Neodiprion lecontei: one gene and its partner. The protein of the gene in region 1 binds, or shares a complex with, the protein of each later gene. Links are inferred from orthologs where the notes say so. Each region holds a gene or a part of one and is shown on either strand. Other genes may lie near its edges. The genes, in order: dolichol-phosphate mannosyltransferase subunit 1 and dolichol-phosphate mannosyltransferase subunit 3.

The links.
Region 2: dolichol-phosphate mannosyltransferase subunit 1 (region 1) and dolichol-phosphate mannosyltransferase subunit 3 share a complex: the UniProt entries of both Homo sapiens proteins name them as parts of the dolichol-phosphate mannose (DPM) synthase complex. The link is inferred for Neodiprion lecontei from reciprocal best matches to the Homo sapiens genes DPM1 and DPM3.

Annotation. Positions count from the first base shown.
Region 1 is NC_060262.1:37,601,678-37,605,805, forward strand, and holds dolichol-phosphate mannosyltransferase subunit 1, read right to left. Parts: upstream 2,058-4,128; 5' UTR 1,985-2,057; coding exon 1,845-1,984; intron 1,672-1,844; coding exon 1,461-1,671; intron 1,374-1,460; coding exon 1,183-1,373; intron 1,039-1,182; coding exon 819-1,038; 3' UTR 717-818; downstream 1-716. Other genes in the region: NF-kappa-B inhibitor-interacting Ras-like protein, read left to right, coding at 2,461-2,559, 2,871-3,377. UniProt on the Homo sapiens protein: Transfers mannose from GDP-mannose to dolichol monophosphate to form dolichol phosphate mannose (Dol-P-Man) which is the mannosyl donor in pathways leading to N-glycosylation, glycosyl phosphatidylinositol membrane anchoring, and O-mannosylation of proteins; catalytic subunit of the dolichol-phosphate mannose (DPM) synthase complex.
Region 2 is NC_060260.1:27,862,415-27,866,694, reverse strand, and holds dolichol-phosphate mannosyltransferase subunit 3, read right to left. Parts: upstream 2,468-4,280; 5' UTR 2,044-2,467; intron 1,526-2,043; coding exon 1,298-1,525; intron 1,181-1,297; coding exon 1,121-1,180; 3' UTR 763-1,120; downstream 1-762. Other genes in the region: uncharacterized protein LOC107223439, read left to right, coding at 1-23, 190-352, 427-599; egalitarian protein homolog, read left to right, coding at 3,998-4,280. UniProt on the Homo sapiens protein: Stabilizer subunit of the dolichol-phosphate mannose (DPM) synthase complex; tethers catalytic subunit DPM1 to the endoplasmic reticulum.

The DNA of each region.
Region 1 (4,128 bases):
CGCTATATCCACCAGATCCACGTGGTCAGCATAGTCTAGCCTATTCCACGCCACAGCCCTTCGATAGGACGGTTCATTAAGAGAAAACCGTACTCTATTTGATAGACAACGACTTAGTAGGTGTCATGGTCGGTTCGGCTCCAGGCTGATAAGTATCGTCGACGGGAGGCTTTGTTGTGTTTTTGACGCACAGCCCTGTACGCTGCCTGACGATGCATCCGAGCGGTAGAAGCATTCATTCGTGGTTCGGCCCCTGGCCGATAAGTCTCAAATAGTTGGAGGTGCTGTTTGTGCATCACGCACAACCCTGTTCACAACTTAGATAGGCATCCATCGGGAGTGGTTTCAGCGGTATTCGTTCGTCTGTAGTCGGTGGTGGTCGGTGTTGAGCTGGTACGTGACCCCTGGCAGGCAGTGTCCTGGTATCTTGAAGCGGAGGTCTCGTAGATGGTTCTTGTAGAGCGTTACAAAATTAGAAAATAGAATAAAATTAGCTTAATAAAGAGAGTTTAACTTAAAGATAATTAGTCGTTCGTTTTCGGAGTATTGGCCTCAGACGTGCTTTCGTTATTTTTAGCGATATTTGTACCTAGGGAAGTGCGATAGTTAAACAAAGTGACGGGGTACGAAATACCACGTCACAACTTATAACCCTCTTCATTCAATATCGGTACAATGGATCTAAGTGAAATTTCTGACAAATAATACTACACATGTTGGTGATAATTATTTATTAAAATTATCAGGTAGTAACGTGTGCTGTAATGCAGACATCAGTTATTACGTTGCATTCAGGAAGTTTGTTATAAATGATAATCTTACGTAGTGGCAAAAAGATACAACATTGATTTTACAAATTGGAATATCTCAGAACCACCTAATTTCGATTCTCCGTAAACTCTGTCCACGAATGAAATAGGAACTTCTCCTATTTGGTAATTAAATTGCCTTGCTCTGATGATCATTTCCATTTGAAAAACGTAACCCTTGGATACGCAGGATTTAATCAGCTTCTCCAAGACGTCTTTTTTATACAGCCTGAAAAATAATCACATACACAAATTTGTTGTGATAATTTCAGAATCGACTTTGTCTAAAATTTAATTACTCAACCAAACTAAATATGGTATCAATCAATGAAAACTTAGAATGAATTGAACAAATGAATGAAAATGTTGATACCTAAAGCTTCCAGTTAAATCACTTGCGCCAGGTCTGAGTAATAATTGTGTAATAAAGTTAGCGCCCCTGCTGATTAATTTTCTTCTAAAATCCCATCCATAAACACCACCATCTCCAATGTATCTGGTACCGCTGACAATATCCAAGTCTAAATATCTCTGAAGCTCTATCATTTTGGGGATGAATTTTGGCTGAAATCAAACGGAATCTCAATTTACTTTCTGGCATGAATAAACAAAAAATTTGAAAACCATGCTGAAAGTGCATTGTAGAATTACATGATGAGAGAGATCAGCATCCATTATGACGATGAAATTTCCACTGGCATGTTTGATTCCATGTATATAAGCAGTTCCTAAACCAAGCTTCTTTTCCCGAGGCCTCAAAAGAATTTTATCCTCGCCATAAATCTTCTGAAGTTCTTTGGCTACCTCCAATGTCCCGTCAGGTGAACCATCGTCGATAACGATCACTTCGTAAGCACATTGGCTAGAAGTAATAATGTGAAATCCCATTTGAATTAAGTAATAACAAAATGCACGTGGTGAAATCCGTGACCACAGCAATTTATTCACATTAAACTTGGGTAACTTCAAATGAATGTGTGCACCAGTGAACGAGTACAGTGTAGTAGTTTAGAGGTTAGGTTGAAAATTGCTCACCTTTTCTCCATGTACTTAACAATCAGCCAAATGATAATGGGCAAATTGTCTCTCTCGTTGTAAGTTGGTAAAAGAATAGAATATTTGTCATTTTTTGTGAGCTTTTTGAGTTCCTCATTCGTCGAACCTTCCCCACTCATTTTGTCAGCTGTTTACTGTCAAATGATCACCGTGGCATTGCTACTTCATAGTTCAATGTGAACTTTGAACGTGGCAGCACCCGGCGGACAGCTAAGTGTAAGAACATTCAAGCCGCGTTTCGATGAAGACGTTACCCGAGAAACCTCGTCGATGTCGTTAGTTGTAAACTACAAAGTGGTCGATGTTAACCATAATGTTGATTCGTTCCGAGAGAAAAGAGGTTAACAGGAACGGAGGACAGAAAAACATGAATCGTATGCAAATTTGCGTGACAGAACAAACCATTTTGCACAGTTAAATAGACGGCAACAGGCTACGTAGTCTGACGGCTAGAAGTGTGATGTTGCTGTTGATTAGTTAACAACCGATATTCGGTATGTATTCGTCGAATTGCACAATTTTACTGGATTTATACTGAAGATGTGAACATTTGTTTTACCCAATCTAGGTAAACCGATCGGGTCCGCTATCGAAAATGGGAAAAACTACTCGAGTGGTGGTGTGCGGAATGAAGGGAGTAGGGAAGACTGCTCTCTTGGAACAACTCATCTATGGAAACGTAACCACAAACTCCGTAAGATCATCATATGGATAACAATATTCTTTTTCTGTTAGACCGTTCAAATTTATCAGCCCAACTGCGCTTCGCCTTGTTCATAAAAAGAAATAATTATTGCTTGAAGAATCTCCTCTATTTTTACTTTAGGGTTTGTACACATTGTCAACAAAGATTTTTCTAAATTAGAATACAACGCTATTCAGTACTTATCTGACTACCATAAAGTAGATGTATATATCCTTATTTATTTGTTATAAATAATGTAAGTACTGTGGCTGTAGCGAATGGTTGAGACAAAACGAGAAAAAAACTAATTTTTATTCCAGGAAATTCATCCTACTATCGAAGATATTTACGTTGCAAATATAGAGACAGATCGAGGTACAAAGGAAAAGGTACGATTTTATGATACAGCTGGATTGGAACCACTACAGACGAATGCAAGTAGCCCACAGTTGGCACGGCACTACCTTGGCTTTGCCGATGGGTATGTGCTTGTATACGATACTGCAAAACCTGAATCTCTAGACGTTTTATTTCCGCTGAAAAAAGACATAGACAAACACAAAGATAAAAAAGAAATCACTATTATCGTTATTGGAAATCGTACAAAACCTGACGTTGAGTTGAATAATTTGGAAAACACTGCTAGCAAAGCAGCCAACTGGTGTACGAGAGAAAAACTGAGGCATTATGAGGTAAACGTATTGGACAGACCAAGTCTGTATGATGCCTTTGTTCATTTATCGTCAAAATTGAATCCACCACCCAACAAAAGCACGTTTCCCCAGCTCAGTATGGGTCGAAAAACTATAAAGGCTGAGGCACCGTGAATTTTTTCTTTTAATTCAAACTACTTGGAGCCATTTCAATCTGAATTAGTTTCACTTTTCATAACCCACAGTTATGCATTGACTGCATTCTATGTTCATTCTAATTTTATCTGAAATTTTTTCGGATCTCTTATTTATAGAAGGGCCTCTCAAGCCCTTTCTTACTTCCCAACTGTGAGTAACAAATTATTACCAAACTTGTGCCAGAAACTTGTTCCCAGTTACACTATGCAATTATATCACTAATGTTGAATACTATGTTTATTATGTATTTATGATAAATATTTTATCCCTATACAATTGAGATTTGCGGATTTACACGAATCGTATTATCTTAGCATTTAAAGAATAGGATAAATCTCACATGACTGGCTATGTAACTGCAAATATAAGCATCTAACTTTGTGTTTCCTCTCAAGTTGGTACGCTTTATTTTGTTCAAAATCGTAATGTATGAATAATTCTTTGAATTGCACATAGTAACATTATCAACAATAGTTTGTGAACTTGAAATTTTACATTCCATTGCAGGATACTTTCATTTGATTCTGACTAATTTTAAATCATGGCTGAAAATGTATCTGGTAGCGTGTCGATTCGAATTATTAATGTACGTGAAACACTCTGGTACTTAATCAATTTATTCAGAAAGTAATAATCTCTCTCAAAAACTTCGTATACATAGTATACAATATAGTAAAAACAAAGAGCATACATATTAATTACACTTATAAATTATGTTTTCATGACA
Region 2 (4,280 bases), on another chromosome or scaffold:
GGATACTGGATGTTCCAAAAATGGTAAGATGAAACTCGCAGTATAATTGTCAATTTTTACATTTATATCACGACTCCTGTGAAAACTGAACTTGACTCAAAAGTGCAATGTATATTATTCGCCCAATATGTCACATCATTTTACGGTATTTGGTAATAGTAGCTTATATTCTAACATCATTTACATTAGATCAATCCAAAAGATCTTGAGAATCAGACGATCATACTTGGAGGGATGAGTGTATTGAGATTTGGAGATGACTGCTACAAAGTTTCAAGCAAACCCAGTAAGGGGGTTTGCAATCTGTCCTGTGTGTTAACTACAAGCAAGCGAAAAAACGACTATAAAATACGTACGTCAACTATTATACTACAATTGCATTTCATTTACACTACTACTTGATATTGTATGTTATTTTTTTTGCAGTTAATATCCGATCTAAAGGCCGTATGAAGTTTTGTCAGAAGATCTCAGTTGTGTCTGATTCAAAATTAGTTCCTTCGGAACTGCCTTCTCCAAAGACAACTGTTCCGTTTCCGAAAAATTTGAAGATGAGACATCCGTTATTTGGTGCAACTTATGAAGATAAAACCTCATGAGTACCAAAAACAAAAACTATACAGATTGAATTTACAAAATACATTTTCAATATGTTGACCAAAGTTTTATTTTCACCTGGAATTTTTCCAATTTGTTGATACATTATTGTATAATATATGTATATATACATATTTTTTTCGTCTAATAAATCTAAGATCACATTTTAGCTCACAATCAGTGTCTTAGAATTAAAATATTATGAAAGCTTATACATAAAAGAAAGGTGAATGTAGTGATTTACATTGACATTGAGTGTTTATTTAAATCTATTCGTTTAAACGGTTTGGCTGTGATGCACTCGAAAATTGGATACAAATATTGGTATTGTTTACATTGATACTCAGAACATGTCGTGACTAAAATTGTGTACTTCATATTTCAGAAAATAACCGCTGAACCATTTGATTATGAAATTACAGATTTTATTGTCTCACGAGATGCAAAAAACGAATGAATTTATTGCTGGACGATGAGAGGCATCAAATGCAACTGATGAGATATCGATACTTAGATTTGAGCTTTAATCTTCTTTAAGTGCAAGGCCTTTGCTACGAAGATCGGCTCTGGCTTCTTTGATTTCCTGAAATAGACAAATAGGTACTAAACAATGTGTAAAGTGTATCGATCTAAGGTTCTGTAGAACTAATTTTTTTTTGTTAATCAGCATTCCATGTGCAATCCCATGTTGATTGCTTACCCTTTGGAGTTCTACAGCAGCTTCTTCACAATTGTTGAAAGTGAAAGTTCGGTAAAGAACTACACTAACAGCATATAAGCCAAAGAGTATAATTAATGTTAGGGGAAGGTATAATATTGGTGTTCGCCATTTAATTAGGAGTGTCGATTGGGCACTACCAGTGATTGCAGCTGTCCATATACTGAAAAATACTGTGGCCACAAAAACCCATTCCATAAGCTTTGTCATCTTGAAAGAGAACAGATAAGAACAAAATGTTAGTAAGACACTCAACAATTAGAGTTACGTGACTTTAAGGTACAACCAGAGCTACGTTCCGAATTTACATCTGATTCCATAATTAACTTGAAACAAGAAGAAAGAGGAATGTCTCGAAGCGGTCAGTGAGGAGAGTGAAGTGTCACGTTTCAAGGTAATTGAGGAATTAGATGTAAATACCGAAAGTGCTACAGACAAGATGTGTTTTTTTTAAATAATATAGTCATAACCAGGCCATTATGGTTTGAAAATTTGAGGATCGATTAATATGGTTCGTTATCAATTGAATTAACCTTCTGAGATTCTGCAAAAATAAACAATAGAATCGTTTTTGCATATTTGATATACGGTGGCCGACAAGTGGCAAAATATCGTCAAGCTCCTTTAAAAAACTTTAAGGTACTTTGAAGTATTTAAATGGTGCATTTTTAGGTTAACTTTTGAGGGTGATGATCGAAAAGAGAAATTGTAGAATACACAATGCTTACATTTGTTTCGGGTGAATTCTCGGGGGAATTTTAACACCAATTACTAGTTGCAATATTGACGTTTAATATTTAAACTTCTTTCTGTTTAAATCCACGTCCGCACGCGGCGAAACGAATAAGTTATCTTGTTGGAAACAGGAAGTAGACATAGCTGGGTGCCAGCTGTCATCCACAACCGGTCAGCTGATACAAATAAGGCCACAGACCTTTAAATTATTTTTAATCTCCTGTTACTCGATCATTGTCGCGTTTAAAAAATACGCGCCGTATATCAACGTCATCAATAGTTTTGACTAACGTCTTTTTCTTCATTTCAGTAAAATAACATAGTTCACAAACGTTAAAGTGCACTTTACCCAGCAGAACGCCAGCAGTAAATTTATTATTCAGACAATATACGTGTCTTGTTTATTTTACGAATGGCAACCTGCAGAACTGTTCGGAACATTGCGTATGATTGCTATTATACATATTGTATCCCATAATCGTTGTGAAGTTGAAGTTGAAGATGTGAGAAATGATATTATGCACATCAGATGATAATTCAAGCTCAAGCGTCTATTATTTGAAAATTTTTTTGAAAGCTACAAGCGCTGTACATAATAAATATGCGAATTGCGTACCGCTTGTGCTATACTGCGCATATGTATACATAAGGTGGACTCTTTTATGAGGTAGAATAATTAGGCGTTGCGTAATGATATAAGAATTTCAAGTCAGTAAGGTAAACAGAGCGAAGATAGGTATACCGCGGTTGTACCCAGTGCAATTTTTTCATATATGTGACCCATTCAGAAATAAATTCCATGCCAACGCAACGGAAATGAAACTTCAAATTCGTGAGATTGAACGATATCGACAATGAGGCGTGGAAAAAATACATTCAGTAGGATAATATCGTATAATATCCACTATTAGGCCTGACACCCACGACATTTCGGACGAGACGCACGCTTGACTTTTGTGGTATTCACTTGACATATGCTTCCCCCCCCCTCCCCAAGCCAATTCGTTCACTCGCCACTTGCATCGCCAGGCAGACATTCTTGTGGCTCTTCGGGCCAATATGGCGATTGTGGAAGTTCATGCGAAAATGTCATAGTATTTTATAAGTTGTGTGTGTACCGTGTGGCCGCGGGCGAAGGCTGATATCGTGGTTAAATATATTTCAGGTGCTTCTGTTATAGTGGGATCGGTTTTTTTCTAAATTTTTCCCTCGACCAGCCTATTTTTTTTCGGAATCAAAGATAATTGAGGCCAAGCTCGGTCTTCGTTGCAGCTGAGCACTATCCGAGGTAACAAATTGTACCTGTTCGGGGGAAATTTTATCGTGACAGTTTTTAATATCCGTGATGAATACGTATTTACGTGATTTTATTAGTTTTTTTGACGAAATACTAACCCCCCAATTGATGTGCATATTAAATGTGTTAATATTCTAACCTCAAATTTTTTCCGGAATTTCGTGTAAATATTAAAATCTGTGGCATTTTAAAATTGCTATCTGGATAGTTCTATTTCTTACGAATTGTATTTATTCAGTTGTAGAAACTATCTAGACAGCAAGGCTAAAATATTATCTGCCATGAAAACCTATTTGCTTTGTTATTATGGGAACGGTATTTATATACACCCATATAAACATTTTGTATGCCAAACAGGTTATTTTAGACTTGATGGAAACTCTGCTCTCAATCTCACATAGCAAAAGTTTTTTCTACTAAATATATATGGAAGCAATGAAATCAAAAGTTCAGAATACATTCAGGGATTAATTACAAAATAAGATGAAATACTTTCGCATCAATAATTAAGTAAAAATATTTTTTTATGCACAATTAAAGTGAACTCAAGCTACACCAGATCAAGATTGGATTTGTACCACAAAGCGCACCATATCAATCCCGTAGCAGCTGCAGTACACTCATTGTAATAAAAATAGCACGTAAAGAAAATGGATAGCTCTGAGTATGAGTTGGTCCGCAATATGACTTTGCTATTTTTTTTCGAACGACTGATGGACAAGGGAGGCCCGAGAACTCTGCATGACTTAAGCTGCCAGTTTGGAGCGAAGGGCTTTACTAAAGAGATGCGACAAATTGCTGGCGGCTCTCAGAGTGGACTGAAAAAATTCCTCGCCAAATATCCAGCCTTGTTTTCAATCGACGGTGACTATGTTTTTGTAAATACCTTCCAACCTGTCGTGGCTGAGGATAGTGGATCAAATCTTGGTGGGA